Linked DNA regions of Mus musculus. The protein of the gene in region 2 binds, or shares a complex with, the protein of the main gene of each other region. Links are inferred from orthologs where the notes say so. Each region holds a gene or a part of one and is shown on either strand. Other genes may lie near its edges.

Region 1 (7,699 bases), on a different chromosome or scaffold from region 2:
GTTGGGACACTTATCTTCCACGCAGGTGTTCTTAATTGTTTTGGTCTTCGATTCTATCGCTAAACTCAAAGTCTCAGCACTCGGGGGAAGGGGTGGAGGTGGAGGGTGTTGCATGAGTGACACTTCTCAGAGCTATGTAAGAAAGCACCCGGAGTGGAAAAGATGACCAAACTTTACAAAGGACTAGGGGGTCTTGGAAAAGCAAACTTTGATGAAGGGCAGTGTGTTGTGGGACTTTATTCTTCTGCCCGTGAGAAAATTTTCTCCCTGGTTTCCTTTTCCGCAAGTCCTTAAACTTTCTACAAGGGACTGTGCTCTGATCTCCGCCTCCTTCTTCACAACTCCATAGTATTTTTTTTTTCTTTTTCTTTTTCCTTTTTTTACGCATCGCTGCTACTACAGTAGGCGCCTGCCTTCTTGGTATTTGCCTTCCGATCTTGGGTGCCTTGATTGTAAACAAAACACTTTAGATCCGTAGTGAGGTCGGCTAAGCTCAGCCTTTCTGCTGGCAGCCAGACTTCTTAAGGTGGAGCGGCCAGGACTGCTATACATGTGGGATTAACAGATCAACAAAATGGTGCTCCTGCACAAGGCTGAGAGACTCCGGCGGTGCAGGGACAGAAGTGTTAACTTTCTGCTTTCATACAGACATTATCGTGATGAATAAAAAAAACCTTCTGAAGTGGATTGTAATTTCTCTATTTTTACATAAGAGCTATAGTTCACACAGAAAGAGGCAGAGGAGCTCCTTGCTGCCTAGTGATTGTCTTTTAGTTTAATATTTGAGACACGGTCTTACATAGCTCAGGATGGCTGTGAACTCTCTGTGTAGTTGAGAAGGACTTTGAATTCCTTTACCTCTACAGTGATGACATCTCTAGCAATTTAAAATGTTTATGGTGCTGGTGTCAAGGCTGGGCATATACCGGAGACATAAGGCTCACCCCATTTTACTGTGTTTTCTTCCCAAGTTCAGTAAACTAAGTAGGTATGTTAGATATGGGGGGAGGGGCAACAGCTGGGAGACTGGTGAGTGGGTTCAATGGGTCAGACACCTGCCATACAAGTCGGACAACCTGAGTTCAGCCTGCAGGACCCATGTAAGGTGTGTGTGGGGGACCTGATTCAACGTAGTCTCCTGACCTGAGCACACATGCATGCCATGACGAGTTTGTCCACATATGTGCATGTCATGCACAACATTGCAATAATATTTTTTCAATTATAGCGTGTGTATATATGTATGTAGGTAGGTAGGTCAGAGGTCATAGTACACCTACCAAGAGGAGTCAACTCGCTCTCTATCATATGGATTCCGAAAACTGACCTCAGCATGTCAGGCATTTTGGCAGGCACCTTTACCTGCTGAGCCATCTCTTAGCCCAAATCTACAAAAACCAAGACAACCTGAACACAGTGGGGTGGACCCATAGTCCCAGTGACTGAATTTTGTTTTCAGATACAGAATCTCCTGTAACACAGTCTGGCCACCAACTCAGCTATGCAGTCAAGAATGACAAATTCCTGATCCTCTTGTCTTGCTGAGCATCCTAGCTACTGAAGCTGAGGCAGAGCCCAGGAGTTCAAGGCCAGCCTGACCAACACAGTGCAAAACCACAGCAAACAAAGCACCCCAGAAGAGGCAACTCCCCACCTTGGTCCCAACTGAACAGTGCAGAAGGCCTGGATTTGAAGTCCACGCCTGGATGCTGCCTTCTTTCCTACTCAATGAGCCCCACCCATCTTTTTGGAATCTGTATTTCAGCTGAACTAGTAGATAGTGATACCAAAGGCTTGTGACAGCTGCACTTGATGATCAAGGAGACATCTGTGGGCATCCAAGGCCTGGAAAGAGACCTTTTGGATCCTTGTAAGAGAGTAGAGTCTGCAGACTGCAACCCATCCAAATCCAGACAAAATCAGGAACACTGAGACCACCAGAAGAAAACAGACAAAACCCAAACCAGCCGAGAATGAGGAGACTCTGCCACCAACTGAATAGAAGTCCCCAGACAGGAAACCTGAGTATCAATTTCCTCATTGGTAAAAAGAGGCTAAACCTATCTAAGAACTTTCTGGACTGTTACATTTTGAATGCAGGAGGCAAGGCACACACACACACACACACACACACACACACACACACACACACACGTGCACGTGCGCGCGCGCGCGCGCACACACACACACACACACACACACACACATCCTGGCAAAGATGTGGCTAAGAAAACAAGTCAATATTCAGTCTCACCTACACCAGAGGAAGATAGGAAAACCATGCTTCTTTGGGACACTAAACCAGAAATTTAATTTCCTGTAACATGTTTTGTGTTTAGCGCAAACCAAGACTGTTTGGGAATACTAGTGGGCAAAGCCCTTAAAATCTCACTGAACTCTGAGATACGACAGGCCTGGCTATTCTGTTTTAACTTCTGTCACTGTGCTCAGCAGTGATAGAGAAATGTGAAGTTGCCCAAGGAGCTGAAAAAAACCCACCCAACATTACTAGATGTTGGTAATACCGTGGTGGTGGTATTATAAATCACTTGCAAATCTAGTCTTAGATCCTTAGGAAAGTGTTTTCGCCCTTTAACAACCTGCAGCTCTCTAAAAGTATTTGCTTGTATTTGAATATTGTACTGAGTAGGTTGGAAGCAACAGGCTGGTGGGAGAAAAAAGAGAAGGAAGGCACTGTTGTAGTTGGCGTCTGGACTCAGGTGGAGGGAACGGCTTCGCCCGGGAAAGAACATAAGGGTATAAAGGCGAGTTCCCACACGCTATAGCAATGGCTTTCACTGTGCTTAGGAACCAAGAAAATCAGAACTGGCTTTTTCTGATTTCTGTCTGGGACGGCTCTAAAGAGAGGCTTGGGAGAGCACTGGGGGTTTTCAATCTCGAGATCCTACGGTGGAAGCGCTTGGATTCAGAAACACCCTGATAAGAGCGGTCAGTCCTGGCTTCTTTTTGAAACCACCTCCTGGCCTGTCCTACATAGCAGAGACTTCTGGGGTCAGGCTAAGCGGCCGATTCCGCACCCCAGCTAAGGCACCCTGCCGGGTGGGGGTGGGTGGGCTGCCCCAGGCCCTGAGCCAAGGTTTCCTGAATCTCTCGCATACCCTCCTCCATTCCCACCTCGGCGAATGCAGGTGGGCTGAACTAGCCACCGAAGCTCCTAATAAGCCGCCAGCGACCTAGGAGCCCACTGGTCCAGGCCCTAGGTTTCGCGGGCAAAGACCTGGAGGTCGCAGTCGGGAGCGGTGACGCGCCTGCCAGCGCAGCTCTGCAGCGCCGGGACCTAGATCCCCGGGTCCCTGCCTGGCCGCCGCGCTGGCCCCTCCCCAGCTCTCCGGCCGTTTGGCTAGTTTGTTTGTCTTATTTTTAATTTCTCCGGGGCCAGCCAGAGCAGGTTTGTTGGCAGTCGTACACCTCCGAGTAGTCACGCGACCAGCCAATGTCCTGGCGGCGCTACGGGGAGGCGGCGCGCTCGGGAGCGCGGAGAGGCGGCGGCGCCGCGCCCGGGGCCACCTTAAGAGCGCGCTCGCCAGCCTGGGCGGAGCGGCTCCCGGCGCCGAGACCAATGGAGCTCCTCCTCTGTTTAAATAGACTTGCAGTGTCAATCATCTTCTTCTTCGTCAGCCTCCCTTCCACCGCCATATTGGGCAACTAAAAAAGGAGGGGGGCTCGTGCTTTTGGGGTGTTTTCCCCCCTCATCCCTTGTCCCGACTCACTCGCGGCTCCGAGACTCGCGCGGCGGCAAGGTTTGGAGAGGGGCTGCGTTCGCGGGACACACGGGCTCGCCCCAGCCTACGCTCCGACTGTTTGCCACCTCCTCCTGCCTCCTCCCCTCCCTTCCCCGCCCTCCAGTACACTTGATCACTGAAGCCTCGAGCTGCGCGGCGGCTGGGGTGTCCCTGCGCCTCTCTTCCCCAGACCTGCGCGCTACTGCGGCTCGGGCGGTCGCTCGCCTGGCTCTGCTCCATTTGACTGTCTGTGTGCAGTCGCAGAACTTCGAAGAGGGTTTTGCGCTCCATCCGTGGCGTTTCGCTTTTGTTCGGTTTTGTTGTTTATTTCATTTTTTTTTTTCCGGAGAGAGGCGAGGCGGTGGTCCACACCCGCCCGAGGAGGAAGATGTCAAACGTGAGAGTGTCTAACGGGAGCCCGAGCCTGGAGCGGATGGACGCCAGACAAGCGGAGCACCCCAAGCCTTCCGCCTGCAGAAATCTCTTCGGCCCGGTCAATCATGAAGAACTAACCCGGGACTTGGAGAAGCACTGCCGGGATATGGAAGAAGCGAGTCAGCGCAAGTGGAATTTCGACTTTCAGAATCATAAGCCCCTGGAGGGCAGATACGAGTGGCAGGAGGTGGAGAGGGGCAGCTTGCCCGAGTTCTACTACAGGCCCCCGCGCCCCCCCAAGAGCGCCTGCAAGGTGCTGGCGCAGGAGAGCCAGGATGTCAGCGGGAGCCGCCAGGCGGTGCCTTTAATTGGGTCTCAGGCAAACTCTGAGGACCGGCATTTGGTGGACCAAATGCCTGACTCGTCAGACAATCCGGCTGGGTTAGCGGAGCAGTGTCCAGGGATGAGGAAGCGACCTGCTGCAGAAGGTAGTGACTCTTTGGAAAACTTAAAATGTCTGTCTGTCTGTCTGTCTCCGTAAGCGCCCCTTTACTAGACCCTGTTCACTTGCTTTCTCCAGCGTGTTCTGCTTTAGCTCTGGGAAATCGAACTTGTTTGAAGCTTAGGTTTGACATACCCCCTATCCGACTGCTTGCCCTGTTTATGATTTTGAAGTCAGAAGCCGGAGATAGTAAGATGTGATAACTTCCGTAGCCGAACGCATCACAGTTCCTCCCCTCTAGCCAGCTGTAGATACGTGACAAAAGTTCGGATGTTTACCAACTGCCTCCTCCTTGGCTGGGGTGGGGGGGTGGGGGTGGGGATGGGGGTGGGGAAGAGACGTGGGGTGTAGAATACTCCTTGTGTTAGTGGGAACAACCTTATTTTGTGTCCTTAGATGCTACCGGGGATGACGGGTCCAGGGGTCGTGGGTGGAGGTAGTGAGTGGGTTGTTCATCCCTTGGGCCTACTTCTGTCAGCCATTGTTGTCGATAATAAAGATGGTTTGTGTGTGTTCTCTTAAAAATTTCCCCTTGCCCCCCTCTTAGATTCTTCTTCGCAAAACAAAAGGGCCAACAGAACAGAAGAAAATGTTTCAGACGGTTCCCCGAACGCTGGCACTGTGGAGCAGACGCCCAAGAAGCCCGGCCTTCGACGCCAGACGTAAACAGCTCCGGTGGGTTAATGAGGAAGAACACAAAACTGACACCCCATCTGGGCTGCGCTCCCCGGGGGGCCTGCAGACCCCAGGACTGCTGGCAGATTAGTTGCCTGCCAGGAGGAATTACTTTCCTTGATCAAAAAAATTAACACTGGGGAAGGCTGGAATCACTTGAGGGGACTATAATGCAGTATTTGCACCCCAAGATATTTACCTTAAAGTGGAATCAGAATGAGGTTCCCAAGCAAGAACTTGCCACCAAGGCCCCAAAGGATAGGGACGGTCGTATCCTTATGAATCCCACTAAAACTTAGGCTGGGAATGACAGTTTTCCTTTCCAGTCTCAGTTCATGAGAACCCATTTCCCAGAGGTTCGTTTTGAGCCAATAGCCTATTTTGAACCATTTGAACTGTAGAAAAATGGCAAATATATACTTACATGTATGTTCTTAAGAGAAAAACTAGGTACCCATAGTGCACGTTTGATTAGGAGTGTGAATAGAGCTGCCGTGGCTCGAGTTCTTTTTATCTTTTGCTTTTGTTTTGGTTTTTGGTTTTTTGAGATAGGGTTTCTCTGTGTAACAAACAGCTCGGGCTATTCTGGGAATTGCTCTGTAGACCACGCTGGCTTCGAACTCACAGAGATCTGTATTGTCTCTGCCTCCTGAGTGCTGAGATTAGAGGTTGTGTGCCATCACCTCTGGGTACTTTTTTATTTTTTTTTAAAGTTGTGCCTTGTATGCTGGTAAATTTTGGAGAGAAAGGAACTTCATACTTAAAAAAAAAATTAGACTGGAAAGTTCAGAAGTACTAATGCTCCCACAGAATTGATTTTAACCCTGAGGTTACAAAGCAGAAGTTAAATGAACAGCTAGAGGAAGCAGCCTTCCCACACGTCAGCACCGTATGCTAATTTGCTGGAACAGGACGGTTTGGATGTTTATAGGGGAAATGGATAGTAGATGTTAGGACCAACTGAGAAGGTCCAACACAAGTGTGGATTTTTCCATGTGTCAAAAATCTCATCACCCCACTTGCCTAATTAGAGTAACCCAGCCCCTAAATTTACATAGATTGACTATTCATATGCTCTAACTACTTATAATAGTTTATAAGCTCCTTATGAAGAAAACCAGCATTCTCTATTTCTAAAGCCCACTTATAACCCAGCATACAAATAGATCTTAACAGTTTATTATTAACTTTTCAGGTCCTCATTTATTGAAATTTAAAAATAAATGAAGGAATATAGAGATGGCACAGGGTTCCAGCTTGTTGTGTTTATAAATCATAAAGTCATGATATACCTTCTACAGACATAGCATTTTTTCAGAGATGGAAAATGGCCATTAGAGTCACTTTCCATATTATACCCTCTATAAAGTTGTCGAATTGGATGGGAGTTCTTTCTAACTAGCCATCACACCTGTAGCTTTAGTTGCTTTGTGTGGCTTCTGGCCTAGCTTTTCAGATGAGCCGCCTGGATTTTTACCTGGCCTGTTCTGATAAAGAGGCATTTATTAGCCAAGCAACCATAAGACTCTAGTCAAAAGCACTCGTGCAGATATGCTGCATATGAGTAAGAAATTGCAATTTTGTAAACATTCCTCGACTTGGTGGGGAGGAATAATTTTATAATTGCATTTCCAGGTATTTTTCAAGATTACGAAAATATGCTACTCTGATGTGTTATGGTTCCTGAATTTCTTTTCTTTCTCACCCTCTTTGACCCAGATTTTATAGAGCGAGTTTCTCAACCTCTGCACAGTTGACATTTTGAGCCAAATTATTCTTTGTTGTGGTAGGCAGTCCTGTGCATTTTAGAATGTTTGGCATTATCTCTGGCCTCCCCCACAAGATGCCAGTAGCAATCTTCTTCCCGAAGCTGTGACAATCAGAAATGTCTCTTAGACATTTCCAAATGTCCCCTGGGGCATGGGAGGGTTTCACAAAATTGCCCACTTGTTAAGGACCCTGACTCTAATACCACACAAAACAGAACAAAAATCCAGCAAAGATAGGATCGGAGATACCTGTAGTCTTCAGACCTTTAGTGCCTGTATTTATCCATCATTACTGAAGTATTTGTTAACTAAGCTAGCAACAAAATAATTTCTGTACTTTGGCAATGTTACTCTAGTGTCTTCTCCCTAATTCTTTTGTTTCTTTTGCAGAATTAAGAATATTTCCTTGTTTATTAGATACATCACTGCTTTATGAAGCAAGGAAGATATACATGAAAAAATTTAAATACATATCGCTGACTCCATTGAATGGACATCCTGTATAAGCACTGAGAAAGCAAAAACAATAACACTAAAATTTTAGGCACTCTTAAACCATCTGCCTCTAAAAGCATTGGATGTAGCATTGCGCAATTAGGTTGTTCCTTATTTGCTTTGTTGTACTACCTGTGTAT
Region 2 (7,529 bases):
TGACAACATTTCTACAATATCCATCCTAAAAGATGTGCTTTCTAAAGAAGCTACAAAAAGGAAAATTAATCTCAACATATCATACGGTAAAAAAGGAAATTGTTCATTCCAATTTTTGCAGTTTTAATAGCAATGCTTTTCGTGAAAGTGACTTAACTGTGCCTGGCCAACTTCTTGTAGAGATAAACGAGGTGTCTGTCAAGCACACTTTAAAGCTAATTCACCCGAAGCTGGAGTATCAGCTGCTTCTGGCTAAGAAAGTGCAGTTAATCGATGCCCTGAAGGTAAGGCTGTGTCAGTGGGATCATGGACATGGCTGTGAGCTCCGGGCTTTCTAAGTCATACGCACATTGTTACACACCTAAAACCTGACCATTACGGTGCTTCTATTTCCTTTTAATTTTAAATAAGGAATTGCAGGTTCATGAGGGAAATACAGACTTTCTGACTCCAGAGTACCGATGTATTCTAGAAGAGGCAGATCATCTACAAGAGGAATACAAAAAGCAGCCTGCACATCTTGAAAGACTCTATGGTGAGTAGACCAGAAAAGCCTTTCCAGAAAAGCCTGCTGTGCTTCTTTTCAGCAGTTCTTTGGGGTTTTTTATTTGTTTGTCTGTTTTTGTTTTTTGTTTTTTGGGGGGTTTGTTTATTTTGCCAAATAGTTGTGAAAGGAACTAGGCAGAGACTACAGCAGCCACGAGCCTGTGGCAACCAGTTTATTGTACAAAATATGTATTTTTTCCAAGGTGGCCTTACATCTTAACCTTTTTTACTTTAAAATGCAAATAAATGTGAAAGTGGAATTATACCGTGAACATCTATGTGTATAGTGAAGAGGTGTTGCAACCCACACAGCCTGGACATCCACACTGTTTCTCACAGTGATTTTCAGGTTCTGTTGCTACTATAAAAAACTCAGCATTTAATCTATTTAGGCAAAAATTAGTAGGAATATTTATGTGATCTTTAAGTTAACAGCTTAAAATTTGTCTTGCTTTGGTGATAAGTTGGGTATATTACAGATTGCATTGAAAAAAGGAAAAAAGACCAAGGGAAGGGAAGGCAGAGATGGAGGGAGGGAAGACTAAGCAAAAGCTTGGATAGCAGTCCTTCTCTAAGATTTGTTGTGTGCAGCACACTGCACTATCTTTCTTGAGATATTTAACTGTTGCAGCAGCTCTGCAAGGGAGATGATTTTATCTTCATTTTCAATAATCTTTAGATAAAATATGGGAGTAAAGATTGCTCTCACATACCTAGTTAGTGGCAAAGCCTTCATTAAGCCCTTCTCTCCCTGACATGCAGGCCTGGGGCCATCATGACTGGTGTCCTCAGCCCACACTGATCCACTAACCTGCCTACAGAATTTATTATGCACCCAAGACTTTCTCACAGATGAACAGTACTGATATCTGAGTGTTCACTATTCGGCAAGCACAGGGTCTCTTAAAATATCCTTACATGATGGTGTTGCAGATCTACCGTCTCTCATCTGTGATTCCAAAATCTAGGAAGCAGCTTTGAAAACCAAAGTTTACCTTTGTAAATCATTTACCAGCAAATTGTCTTAATCTGATTGACTTCATGATAAAACCTGATTTAAACTGACACGAAGCTTTTTCTATTTTTTTTTTAAATCCCACTGAGTGCAAGTATTCACCTGTTTATTGTAAAAGCATTGCCATTTTGTTAGCAGATATCAGCACTCAGTCTCATTGGACCAATATAAAAAGTATCAATGGTATATTCTTTTTCTCTTCCTAAAATATACTTTTTTTCAAGGGTCTTGTATAAATAATAGACAACTTGAGTTGTCTCTGTGTTACATCTTGAAAACTCAAAGGTGCAGTAATTTCCCAGACCTCTGCACCCAGTAAGCCCATGGGTGAAGTGCTTCAGTTCAGACGTTCTTCCTGATGCAGCAGCAGTCAGTCGCTGGGATGCAGGGTGCACCGACACAGATTCAGAATCGCGACCAGTGGCTTGTCTAGGTCAGCAGTTGCAACCCATTGTTAGAAGGTTATCAAATATTTATGTCTTGAAAGTTGCTTCAAACCTTCTCCACATACACATCTGTTTTTAAAAACACCAACCTCTTCCAGGCTTGTATGTGTTGAATAATGGAGTCTCAGGTGGTGAGAGAATGCCACATGCATTGTTAAAAGAACTAATCAATAACAAGAAATAATATTTTTCTTCGTAGGTATGATTACTGATCTTTTTATAGATAAATTTAAGTTCAAAGGCACTAATGTAAAAACCAAAGTACCCATGCTCCTGGAGATTCTCGACAGCTACGACCAGAACACACTGATTTCTTTCTTCGATGCAGCATGAAAGATAAACAAGGTAGGCCAACAGGACAGCCGAAGAAGCAAGCAGAGCCTGATCAGACCCGAGGCACCTCAGATGGACGTCCCACATGTAATCAGAAGAGTGACGGCCTCTAAGCATCCCCCTACGAGTACCCATGAAAGTCCTTTTTATTGTGTACTTGAGGGGAAAAGAAGATCTTTTAGTCATTCATTTCAGGGGAATATTGCATTGAAAGTTTTAGAATACTATTAAATAAGAGCAAATAAGCTGTCTTTTGTTTTCAAAGGGTAGTTATGAAAACAATGATTACATTTTATTATATTTTATGTATGATTCTTAACTATTAAATGTGAACATTTAAGGTAATATACTTGTGTCTTTATATATTTATTTAGGTTTTGTATATATTTCTCTGTGTGTGTGTGTTTGGGTTGGTTTTTTTTTTTTTTTTTGTGGTTTTTGTTTTGTTTTGTTTTTCGAGACAGGGTTTCTCAAGACAGGATTTCTTTGTGTAGCTGACCTGGAACTAACTCTGCAGTCCAGGCTGGCCTTGCACTCAAGAGATCCACCTGCCTCTGCCTCCTGAGATGCCCGGAAAAGGCTTGGCCATCGCCTCCTGGCTGCCCGGTTTTCTTATGAACACTTTTTTTCTACTTTTGAGACATCATCTCACTACATAGCTGACTTGGACTAACTTGAATTCAGAGATCTGAAACTCTGGGATTAAAGGTATGTACCACAATGCACTTCATTTCTAAATGTAATATCTATTTGGGTCAGTGGAACTTCATGGTCTGATGTCACAACCAAGGATTAGCAAAATTAATGGACAGCTGAATTTCTTGTAGTACACCACTTGTTATCAACAATAGCTCATGTTGGCATTTTAAATTAACCCATCTTTAATTGGGGGTGGGGGTGGGGTAGTTTACTGGAATGCGGGGCATAGAGACACGCCTTTAATCCCAGATCAGTGAGCTCTGATAACGGATATCAGTGAGTCACAGGACAATTGGGACAGCATTATGAGACCCTGCCTCAAAATCAAACAACAAACAAATGATATACAGGAGAGGTGAAACAATAGTAAACAGTAAAAGTTCCAGCGTTTCCCTATGTTGTATGGCAGCATCACAGAGAAAGAGAAAGGAGTAGTGTACCCAGGACGGGGCAGTTTGTCATTCAGATCCATACGCTCCTGCCTAGGCGCCACCCAGCGACCAGGAGAAGGCGCTTCACCCCTTAGCTGAGGCGAAGGCCGACACCTCGAGGCCCCGAGGGCTTGTCTGGACCGCCCAGCGGCTCCGGCAGGATCCTATGAGGCTACAGATCCACTGAGCAGCAGAGATCGGCCGAAAGCGGCCGCCCGCCCCGCCCTCCTCTGCGCAGGCGCGTCCTCAGGCTCCCGCCCTGTAAGATTCCCGTCGGGCCTTCGCTCGCGGCGACCGGCGCTTCTGGTGACGTCACGGACTCCGGACGCCCTCATTGGTTTATTTCAATAGTCGCGGGCTACTTGAACTACAAGACCAGCAGCCGGCGGGCGGCGCGCAGCTCGCGGCTCCTGGGCTCTACGCTCCTCCCGCCTGCAGCCTCTGCTCCGCGGGTCGGCCGCCAGGGTCCCGCGCTGCTCCGGAGCGGCGGGCGCTGTGCACGCTCTGCCGCCGACAGAACCGGACCGGAGCCGCGATGCCGGGCACCTCGAGGCATTCGGGTCGCGATGCGGGCTCAGCCCTGCTCTCGCTGCATCAGGAAGACCAAGAGAATGTCAACCCCGAAAAACTGGCGCCAGCCCAGCAGCCGCGGGCGCAGGCGGTGCTGAAGGCCGGGAACGTGCGTGGACCCGCGCCGCAGCAGAAGCTCAAGACTCGACGGGTAATAGGGCGCGGGGGTCTGGAGGAGGGCCGGGCGGGAGCGGTCCTGGGTTTAGCAGCCCAGAGGGCCGGAAAGCACGCTGAGCATTCCAGGGGGAGTCAGGCTGCAGTCTTCGCGGTCCGGGCGTTTCTAGTACCAAATAGTCCCACGAGCTCTGCCGACCCGTGTAGACCGCCCTTCGGCACTAGTGGCGCCGCGTTCCAAAAAATGCCCGGGGTCATACCAAGCGTTGCCACTCGCGTGTCGACTTCCCCCAGCTGTGTACCTTTCCCTCCACTTTTAAAGCCAGGCATTGCATTAGGATGTAGATCCCTTCCCCCTCACCATCTGCTTCCCAGATTACTACTTCAGGGAAGGACATAAAGCAAGTATTCTTCGTGGTAAATTCCGCCATTTTAGCCAGACTTGCTGTTTTGCTCCACCCTGGGGCTAAAGTTGTGAATCAGTTCTTTGCCCTAACTTTAGTCTTTGATTAGTTTGGAATTCCAGTCCGTTCTATTTATAGCCTTTGTAGAAATGGCTGTGACAGATCGGTTTACACACCTTTACCTGGGCTTTGCCTCATGGACTTATATGTTTCTTAGAGTATTTGGAATTAAAAGCTGATACCCACCGGGCTAGAAGCAAAGTTGTATTGAAAAAGATTCCTCCTCTTTAGGTTGCTCCTCTTAAGGACCTTCCTATAAACGATGAGCATGTCACTGCTGGTCCTTCATGGAAAGCAGTCAGTAAACAGCCTGCCTTCACCATTCATGTGGATGAAGCAGAAGAGACTCAGAAGAGGCCAGCTGAGCTTAAAGAAACAGAGTGTGAAGATGCCCTGGCTTTTAATGCAGCTGTCTCTTTACCCGGAGCAAGAAAACCACTGACACCTCTTGACTATCCAATGGATGGCAGTTTTGGTAAGGTTGCTTTTTATTTTTACCAGTCTCTCTTCCTTCTTTCCCTCCTTTCTGTCTTTTTATTCCCCCTCTGGGTTTCTTGAGTATCCTTGACTGTCCTGAAACTCAATCTGTAGACCAGGCTGACCTTGAACTAAGAGATCCACCTACCTCAGCCTCCCAAGTGCTGGGATTAAAGGCATGTGCCACAACCACCAAGCCTGTGCCTTTTATTTTTGAGACAGGATCTCAACCTGTAGCTTATATCTTGATATTTTGAGTTTTAAGATTATGTCTTACCCGATCATACACAGTGAGTTAAGATTACCGCAATCTCATGACTAGTACTGACCTATGAAAGGACTCAAATCTTTAACCGGCAGGAGGGCACTGCAAACCAACATCAAGTTTAATTAGATCGTAAATATCTATCTTAATCTGACTTTATAAATGTTTGGCTAGGAGAATAGATTTCAGTTTTGTGTCTGACTCACTCCTTAACATGCCAGCCCTAAGAGTGCTCCTTGAGGCTACAGTTTTAAGCATTGTGATATCTACCATTCGTTTAAAACTTGTTTGAATGTTCATCAGCTTGTAGGTCAGACACATGGAAGGCAAAATAGCTGCGGTAGACAGCTCTGCGGTTGCTATGACATCACTGCATGGAGACCAGAGATACTGGTATCTGTCACATTCTACCTTATGCTGTGTGTGTCAGCAGAAGGGGTGTGCTTGCCTGTGCTGGTACAAGTAGAGACTAGTGGAGTACTTGACTTTGGGGTATCTTCAACCACTCTTCCATCTCATTTCTTGATAAAAGGTTTCTTTGGAGCTCAGCGATTTGGCTAGACAGCCTGGCCATCGAGGCACAGGGATATGACTATTTTCAACCCTTTTCCTCTCCCACTCCTGGGGTTACAGATAATGCTTCTGTGTGGTGCTGGGAATGCAAGCCATATCTTCATTCAGGCATATGCAGCAGGCACTGCACTAAGCCATTTCCAGCCGCTTTAGTTTACTTAGTTCTGCTGATGGGGAAGGAGGATATGGAAACAGTTTATTACACAGATTCTCCCATCTCAAGATAACTGAAATGGTAAAAACTAGAGCTGAGTATATTAATGCCTATAAACAGCACTCAGGAGGCTGAGGCAAGATTGCCAGCCTAGGGCAACAGAGTCAGTTTCAGGCCAGTTTAGCCTATAGAATGAGACCCAATTTTAACAAACACCAAGTCCCTTACAGATCAGTGTTTGGACATGATATGACAAACTTGATATCTTTACTAACATTTGTTAATCATGCCATTTACCTGATTCTAATGACTCCCTCATTATGATCTGACTATGGCAACCCATGGGATCTGCAGTCTCTCTTAAGGCAAAAATAATTATTTTAAAACTTTGCTGTTACGTTCTTGTCCTAAAAGAACCATTGTTTCATCTGCTCATCTCTGTGGAGGATGATACTTTAAAGTAATTCTCCGTCTTCTTAGTAGCCTATTGGTGTACATACATGCATACATTTATTTCTGTTTTGGAACTAAGGTTATCCTAGAGCTTTGACAAAAGTCCTAAAACCAGAATTAGATGTTCTATGTTGCTTTGCTATTAGGGTGTTTTTGATTGGAAGAGATAAATACTTTGGTTTTAATCTCACACACACAGAATCACCACATGCTATGGATATGTCTATTGTCTTAGAAGACAAGCCAGTGAACGTTAATGAAGTACCTGACTATCAAGAAGACATTCACACGTACCTTAGGGAAATGGAGGTAAGGCTCTGCTCATTACAAATGGCTAAGTGAAGCAGAGAGGGTAATGCTGACGCCTGCTAACTACTAGCAAGTTACTCTAAACTTAAGATTATGGTGTATGCTTCTTTGTGAATGATGAAGTCACCTGATAATTATGTTAACTCTGATTCCCCCCCCCCCCTTCAGGTTAAATGTAAACCTAAAGTGGGTTACATGAAGAGGCAGCCAGACATCACTAACAGCATGAGGGCCATCCTTGTGGACTGGCTGGTTGAGGTGGGAGAAGAATATAAACTACAGAATGAGACCCTGCATTTGGCTGTGAACTACATTGATAGATTCCTCTCCTCCATGTCTGTGTTAAGAGGGAAGCTTCAGCTTGTAGGCACGGCTGCTATGCTGCTAGCTTCGTAAGTCCACCTAGTTTGGTTCAGAGTCATCATTCACTACTACTCCCCCCACACCCCCATTTATATATTTTTTGGATGTTTTGCCTGCATGTATATCTGTAGCACATGTGAGGTCCCTGCTGAGGCAGAAGAGGTCATTGGGTCCCCTAAGCTTGGTGTTATATACTGTTAAGAGCACCATGTGGGTGCTGAGAATTGAACCTGGGTCCCAGCCAATACTCTAACCATTGTACCATCTCTTCAACACCCAGTTTTAGGAATGGCTGTGGGATGATTCTGAACAGAGAG
Region 3 (7,560 bases), on a different chromosome or scaffold from region 2:
AGTGCTGGTAACGAGGTACTCTCTATACAAAATCAGAAAGTCCGAGCTCTGACAATGTCAGATAAGTAGACATTCATCGCTTGAGTCTTCCACATCTGAATGGTTTTATTATTGATTGTATAACTTAGTTCCCTGAAACCAGCCACTTATTGCTAAGATGGCTGAGTTTGAACCAATTTTGTGAGAATCCATTGTGATCATATTGTACATATTACATAGTGGATTATGGAAACACAAGTACACTGGCACTTGTATTTTCAACTATTCTTCCTTCAAGAATTTGTTTTACATGTAAAAGACTTCAGCTATGTTCTTAGTAATTGAAACACAAACCCTATCTCAGACACAATTTCTATTATACTTTAAGATTCAGGTGCTTGTGTTTGTTTGACACTCTGCATCTTTCATTATAACATCCTTAAAGAACTCAGTATATCATGTTCTTATTCTATGGAGATAAATTTCAAACTTTGAAAAGTTAAGCATCTTGATCAAGGTCATGTAGCTAATTAGTATCAGAGTCACAGTTAGGAACTAGACTCAGTCACTCCTCTAATCTGAAGCCCACATGCATGGAGTATTCTCTATCCCTTAGCTAAGTGATATAATTAGAATGAAGTCATGTACATGGGCAATTGTGGGTAGAGTCAAATATACTTTAAATTGTCCAGTGAAAACAGGAGCTGAAATAATTATTGCTTTTTAGTCATGGCAAAAATAATGAACCTGAGTTTTCCTTTCCCTTTTCTTTTTTAATTTTTTTTTTTTACGAATTCACTTTATATCTTACTCAGAGCTCCCCTCTCAGCCACCCCCGCCACACCTTACCCCTATCTCCCTCCCCCTCCTCTGAAAGGTTAGGCCCCCTTGGGTATCCCTCCACTATGGCTCTTCAAGTCTCAGAAAGGCTAGGCTCATCCTCTCCCACTGAGGCCAGAGAATGCAGCTCAGCTAGAAGAACATATCTCACATACAGACAATAGTTTTGGGGATATCCTTTGCTCCAGGTGTTCAGGACCCACCTAAAGACCAAGCTGCCCATCTACTACATATGTGCGGGAAAGCCTAGGCCTTCCTGTGGAGTCCTATCCCTCCGGGCCTGCATCCTTCCTCCTATTCATCCATAACAGTTTCCAAGCTCCATCCACTGTTTGGCTATGGGTGTCTGCATCTGTCTGATTTAGCTACGGAGTGGAACCTCTCAGAGAACAACATGCTTCTGTAGAAGATTCAGGACTATAATCTCAGAACTCATGAGGATGGGTAAGGAAATTATGGGTATATAGCCAGAAGAACCTGTCTCACACCAAAGCAAGACAGAGAGAGAGAGAGAAAGAGAGACAGACAGACAGACAGACACAGACACAGACACCACAGACACAGACACAGACACAGACACAGACACAGACACCACAGACACAGACACAGACACAGACACAGACACAGACACAGACACAGACACCACAGACACAGACACAGACACAGACACAGACACAGACACAGACACAGACAGAGACACAGGCACAGGCACAGGCACAGACACAGACACAGACACAGACACAGACACAGACACAGACACCACAGACACAGACACAGACACAGACACAGACACAGACACAGACACAGACACAGACACAGACACAGACACAGACACAGACACAGACACCACAGACACAGACACAGACACAGACACAGACACAGACAGAGACACAGGCACAGGCACAGGCACAGACACAGACACAGACACAGACACAGACACAGACACAGACACAGACACAGGCACAGGCACAGGCACAGGCACAGGCACAGGCACAGGCACAGGCACAGGCACAGGCACAGGCACAGGCACAGGCACAGGCACAGGCACAGGCACAGGCACAGGCACAGACACACAGAGACAGAAGAGAGAGAGACAGGGAGAAACTTAGTCTTAGAAAGTTGTAAACTTTAGATAAAAATGAGCCTATTGATAAAAACAATAAGTCCATTGTGGCCCATATTACGTGGAAACCTTTATAGTACAACAAACAATGTAGTGAAATGTTTAAATGTTTGTGCTTAAATCATAAATACTAGGAACTAGTTACTGGCTTGGTCCTTACAGGCACATACTACTCTTGTAAAGGACCAGAGTTCTGTTCCCAGCACCAGCATCCAGCTGTCCAGCAAGCTCACAACCACTGTAACTCCAAATCCAGGGGCATTTGATGCCTCTGGCCTCCTTGGCGCCTGCACCACAGGCACAAATCCATTGAGACACACACACACAGACACACAGACACACACACACACAGACACACAGACATACATGTTCACACATACAAATAGCAAAAGAAAATATAATGAGACAAGTCTGTTGCATATACGGAGACATAGTTATGAGAAAATATCCTATTTCATATGACTTGCTGTTGATCACTGAGTATGAATAAACACTATTTTATCTGATATATTTGTAAAAGTCACAGAATTCTTCAATTCTACAGTACTCTCTGTTTAGTTTTTAATTTTTTCATTTCTATAAAGTGCACTCAGTTGTTTTTTTTTTTTTAATCTAATAACCCACAAGCAATGTGATAACTCTTCTTCCAATTCTGTATACACCTGTGTTTTCCTTGAGGTAATTTGCACACAGAGGCCACACTTGCTGCTCTTATACACACTTTCTTGCAGCCCATTCCCCAAGGATTCTCTTATTCCTCTACTGTGGATCACATCAATAAAGAACGACATCTGTGCAGCTGATCATGGTGAGCCATTTCAGGTAGACCATGTGTTCTACCTTGACCTAACTTCTCATTTCTGTTCTCACCACTATGGCCAATTAATGCGAGACCTTTTAAGCAGCCAGTTGACTGGTCTGGTCGTGTGCCGGCTATCACCACAAGAGCTTAAGGGCCACAAATCTCTGTTATTACCAAGCTGTTGCTGCCAGAAGCACGCTGACTCCTGACAAAAAGAATAGATTAGGATCAGTCAAATCTCCCCCAGGCTTATCAGTGGGACTTTTAACCGCACCTTCTACCTCAAAGTTTCCCCTTCTCCTGCTTCCAAACACCTACGCAGCAGCAAGCTAACAAGGTGCCTGCCAAACCATATGTTCATAATTAGTTAACTTCTTTCCTGTCGCTAGAGGCACCACTCAGTCAGCAACAGCCGTCAAGGGTGTTGGGCATCCAATAAGACACAACCAGGCTGTACAGCCGCTCAGCCCAGCAGTAAAAGAGGCATACTTAATTCCAGCTGTGGCATTGTTAAGTGAATTAACTCTATCCTCAATTTAAAAAGCCAGCATGAAATCAAAGGGGACCTTGGAAAAGGAAAAAAAAAAATAGAGAGAAAATGAAAAAAAAAATGCTTGTAGGTTAACTCAAGAGTCCGGTGTGGTGAATGAAACTCAACTGGTTGGCCCATTCAGCCAATCATTGCAAGGCAGGTTTTTGGCATCAGTATTGCTCCTGGCACAAGTCTTCCTTTTATTTCCCAGTTCTGTGGTTAAGGTCTCCTGTTACAGACGGAGGGGACTGATGATATAATTGTTTATGAGCCAGCAGAACACATTTATAGGTAGTAGTGAGGTTTCCAGAGAGTAATGAGACGTTAAATGTTAGAGACAGTGGTGCACGATTCTGGCTAAGAAATTTCATCTCAAGGTAAGAGTGCTACATATAAACTTACATGTATGAATTTGCAGGTCTGGGCAATCTCTCTGGGAAATAGTTGTCACACAATGTGTGGGGGAGAAATGAGAACTTTCTGGAATTGTTTTAGTTGTTATTGACTGCACACAAAAAAAGCCCCTAATATTTTGAAAATGTATATATGGCTTTAAATGTGCCTATTCAATATAAATGGAAAGTTGATGAATACTTTTAGCAAATGTACATTCACATATGCATGCTGTGCCAAGCTTATCAATACAGCTTTTATTGAAGAAATAACACTAATAATAACAGCATCGAATAATATTGAATTTTGCTACCAGAATTTGGTAGCATTATTTTTTTAAAAACCTAGTATGACTATGTGGAATACATTTCTCAACTTTAAAAAAGGGTATATTTCCTGTAATTTAAATGTTACAATATTTTATTTTGAGTTTATATTCATGAATATATTATAGCAGTTAGAAAGAATAATCTTCATTGATGACATATATGGGACCAGGAATGTGGATATAAACACACGAGAAAGCAGAAGCAGTAGTTAAAATATAAAACTTAAGAATCCAGAAAATTAAATATAGATAGGAAACTGGCTACTTAAATAATGCTAATTTTAAGACTTGTGATTTTGTTGCTATTATTGTAAATCCTTTCATGAAGCAATCTGAGAATAGTCTACTGCCCCTTACAACTTAAGCCTCAGCTTGCGATCCAGTTTCATTGTCGATTACATAATCTCCACTATCATATTAAATAACCATTGAGGGTGGCAAGGGACTTGGGGCTTCTGAGTAACAGACATAATGATATGTGGCTTGAAGTGAATTAAGAAACAACTGATATGGTGTATAACCAGGGAATTAAAAGACATAAGTCAATGGGAAATTGCAGAAACCACAGATCGGTACAAGTTACAGGCAATTTTCTTAATAACCCTTTAGGATAATATTAGACAAGCTGCACAAAACCTCTTCACTACCCCCTGTGGGGCAAACTGGTTAACAATCAGAGCCAAAGGTTTGTTTTTAAACACAATTTGCCATCATAGAAAAAAATATTTTATTAGTGTCGCTAAGCAAGAAATAATTCTTTTTAAACCAAAAATAAAAGTATAAATTAATAAACTTACTTTTCCAGTTTAATCTTTCCTACATTCTTATTTGGGTGTGTTTTAATAAAAGAAAATTTAATTGACCCAAACTATAATCTTGTTTCAATAGCAAAAGACTTATTTGCGAGGTCATAGTGGGAGGTCTTTACAATTCACTTTCAGTGTGATTAATGTACAGTGAGATTTCACTTATTGTGAATATTATAACCAGGAACATAAGGAGGTGCAGATTAGACATGGGAAATTACATTGATTAGACACGGGGGACTGATTTTGAGAGCTCTTAAAATCTTTTAGCGTTTTTTTGCAGTAAGAAAAAGTGACTCGCTGAAGAAGGCGTTCGTGTGAGCTCACAGATGAGCATGATGCTTGACAAAAACTGAGCAGTGATGAGAATCACGGACTGGGCAACAAGAGGCTATGGAAGATGCTGTGTTCCAGGTTAGTGATGGGCTCCTGGCCAACGTGGTGCCAGTAAAACCGGTTAGAAAGAGGCAGAAACAAGAAATGCTAAGGACTGACTCAGAGGCTCTTTCTGGCAGAAGAGGGAGAGAGATGTTAATAATGCCAAACCAGCATGTGTTAATAAAATGTGAGTGTCAGAAAAAGCGTGAACACGAGTATATTAGAAGCCGGTTGTTGGTACACAGAATATGCGGAGTTTGCTGTCTGTCTAATTAGAATGGATCAGTGAGAATGCACAGCGAAGCAGAGGATAGGCAGGACCAGATGCCTGATGCTCAAGTGGAGCAGCTCTCCATTGGGATCCATTGTTGCAAAGAGAGTGGTGCATCCAAGGCAGTGTGTCTGGGTCCTAAAGTTTAGCGCCCTGTGTGAGGGAACAGCAGAGCCTACGTAGGTCAAGCCTACGATCAGGGATATTTGGAAAACGTTCTGAAAGCGGCTCTACAAGTCAATTCTGCACAGCCAGAAAAGGTAACAAAATTTTGTGAAGTTTAGAGAGCAAGCTTGAAGGAAACGGCTAGAAGTCAGAGAGTACTGGTATCCTTCAAATTCTTCTCTAAACCATGGGTGGTAAGGATGGAGTGACATCACACAGACAAAGGCAATGTTTTCCCGATGTTGGAACTTTGCAGCTATCATTACAGGGCAGCTTGAACAATGTGTCTTCCTTTCTAAGGTAATTCTATCTTTTTTTTTATAATTTATGTTTTATTCACTTTACATCCCCATCACAGCTCCACCACACACACACTCCTCTCCTCCCAGTCCTACCCTTACAACCCCCCCCCCATCGTCCCCTCCCTTTCTCCTTAGAGGAGGGGTCTGACCCCTTGGGTACCATCCCACCCTGCGATATCTAACACAGTTCTCAATCAGATTTCACCTGAGTGTTGCTTTAGCTTCATCACACACCTCATACGTGAAGTTTCTCTCTTTACCATTAATGTCAATGAAATAAGATCAGTGAGGTTTTGTAAGTAGAATTAAACACTCATTAATGAGAACACAAGAGCACAGTGTATCATTATTATTTTCAAGTAGGTTTTCACATTTTTTTGTGCACGTATGACCATGTGTGAGTGTGAGCAATGCATATGTGTGTCCGTGGAGGCCAAAGGAGAGTTTTAGGTCCCTTAAAACTGGAGCCATGAGGATTTGTGAGGGGCTTAGCAGGAATGCTGGGCACTGAACATACGTGCTCTGAAAGCACAGGGAGTGCTTGCAATAGCTGAGCTATCTCTCTAACTCCATAATTAACACTTTAAATATCAATATTTCTAAAATATTAACAAGAAAATGTTCAAAGTTATATGCATTCATAAATTCAAAGTGCTTATACATTTTTATTAGAGTAACTGTAATTTCATACTTATCTCAGTATCTCAGACAGTTTAACATTCTTTCTTCTCATACCAGATTATTACATGAATGTCTATTGAATAGATATATTAAAAACTAATTAAAGACATTTTCTGATGAGCTCAGCATTTTTCAGTTCTTCATTACAATGACTCCTATTCTGTCACCAATCTTTTCTTTCTTTTCCTTTCAACATTTTTCTCCTAGCTTTGTAGATTAAATAATAAGGTAAAATTTCAATTTTTGTTTTCCAGGGTTTTTTGAGGATTTTGTTTGTCAGGAAGCGAAAATGATTTCATGTTAGGCAAATGCTGTATCACCAAGCAACAGCCCCAGTTCTTCTCAGTATTTTAAATCTATAAAGCACTTTTAATATATTTATTCCTAACAAATTTTGATGAAAAATCCATCTTTTTCTATAGTTCTAAATATTTTATAATGTCCATTGTAACTTTTCTTTTTCAATGAATTTATTTTAGACATTTAATCATGGAGTTTGAATGTGTTTTAATTCATAATATTGATTTCTAAAGTTGTTAAAAATCCATTAATTTAAGCCGGGCAGTGGTGGCGCAGGCCTTTAATCCCAGCACTTGGGAGGCAGAGACAGGTGGATTTCTGAGTTTGAGGCCAGCCTGGTCTACAGAGTGAGTTCCAGGGCAGCCAGGGCTACACAGAGAAACCCTGTCTCACAAAACAAACAAACAAACAAAAATCCAGGAATTTACTATAGATTAAATATTAATCTTTGAATCCAGTAAAGCATTAAAGTAAAGACAAGATCTTATTGGACTTTATACCAATGATGAGGTGATGTGATCAATGGTATCATTCAAGAAAATAGAGTATTTGAAGAATGTACAAATTGACCATTTGACCAAAATGACATTAACAAGGAAATCTAATGGTTGAACATCCTGTTGATAGGGTGTTATAGGAATCAAAATCTAAGCCCACTGA

What was found. The genes of interacting proteins can lie anywhere in the genome.
Region 1: the proteins of Ccna2 (region 2) and Cdkn1b are in contact, whole or in part, in a crystal structure (PDB 1JSU), measured with the Homo sapiens proteins. The link is inferred for Mus musculus from reciprocal best matches to the Homo sapiens genes CCNA2 and CDKN1B. Residues at the interface, in NP_001228.2 of Homo sapiens: Met210, Ile213, Leu214, Asp216, Trp217, Glu220, Val221, Glu224, Met246, Arg250, Gly251, Lys252, Leu253, Gln254, Leu255, Tyr280, Ile281, Thr282, Asp283, Thr285, Tyr286, Thr287, Gln290, Arg293, Met294, His296, Leu297, Lys300; in NP_004055.1 of Homo sapiens: Lys25, Pro26, Ser27, Ala28, Cys29, Arg30, Asn31, Leu32, Phe33, Gly34, Val36, His38, Leu41, Thr42, Asp44, Leu45, Glu46, His48, Cys49, Asp51.
Region 3: the proteins of Ccna2 (region 2) and Gmnc are in contact, whole or in part, in a cryo-EM structure (PDB 9HIU), measured with the Homo sapiens proteins. The link is inferred for Mus musculus from reciprocal best matches to the Homo sapiens genes CCNA2 and GMNC. Residues at the interface, in NP_001228.2 of Homo sapiens: Met210, Ile213, Leu214, Asp216, Trp217, Glu220, Val221, Glu224, Arg250, Leu253, Gln254, Tyr280, Ile281, Thr282, Asp283, Thr285; in NP_001140158.1 of Homo sapiens: Asn165, Ala166, Lys167, Arg168, Asn169, Leu170, Ser171, Glu173, Phe174, Ala175.

What each region holds. Positions count from the first base shown.
Region 1 is NC_000072.6:134,916,789-134,924,487, forward strand, and holds the start of Cdkn1b (cyclin-dependent kinase inhibitor 1B), read left to right. Parts: upstream 1-3,612; 5' UTR 3,613-4,131; coding exon 4,132-4,606; intron 4,607-5,167; coding exon 5,168-5,286; 3' UTR 5,287-5,295; intron 5,296-7,454; 3' UTR 7,455-7,699. UniProt on the Homo sapiens protein: Important regulator of cell cycle progression. Inhibits the kinase activity of CDK2 bound to cyclin A, but has little inhibitory activity on CDK2 bound to SPDYA. Involved in G1 arrest. Potent inhibitor of cyclin E- and cyclin A-CDK2 complexes.
Region 2 is NC_000069.6:36,568,300-36,575,828, reverse strand, and holds the start of Ccna2 (cyclin-A2), read left to right. Parts: upstream 1-2,790; 5' UTR 2,791-3,048; intron 3,049-3,525; 5' UTR 3,526-4,005; coding exon 4,006-4,191; intron 4,192-4,849; coding exon 4,850-5,093; intron 5,094-6,739; coding exon 6,740-6,849; intron 6,850-7,017; coding exon 7,018-7,241; intron 7,242-7,529. Other genes in the region: Bbs7 (Bardet-Biedl syndrome 7 protein homolog), read left to right, coding at 1-86, 181-284, 412-535, 2,207-2,340. UniProt on the Homo sapiens protein: Cyclin which controls both the G1/S and the G2/M transition phases of the cell cycle. Functions through the formation of specific serine/threonine protein kinase holoenzyme complexes with the cyclin-dependent protein kinases CDK1 or CDK2.
Region 3 is NC_000082.6:26,987,566-26,995,125, reverse strand, and holds the start of Gmnc (geminin coiled-coil domain-containing protein 1), read left to right. Parts: upstream 1-3,473; 5' UTR 3,474-3,653; intron 3,654-5,086; 5' UTR 5,087-5,165; coding exon of another isoform or gene 5,166-5,196; coding exon 5,197-5,217; intron 5,218-7,560. UniProt on the Homo sapiens protein: Regulator of DNA replication. Promotes initiation of chromosomal DNA replication by mediating TOPBP1- and CDK2-dependent recruitment of CDC45L onto replication origins.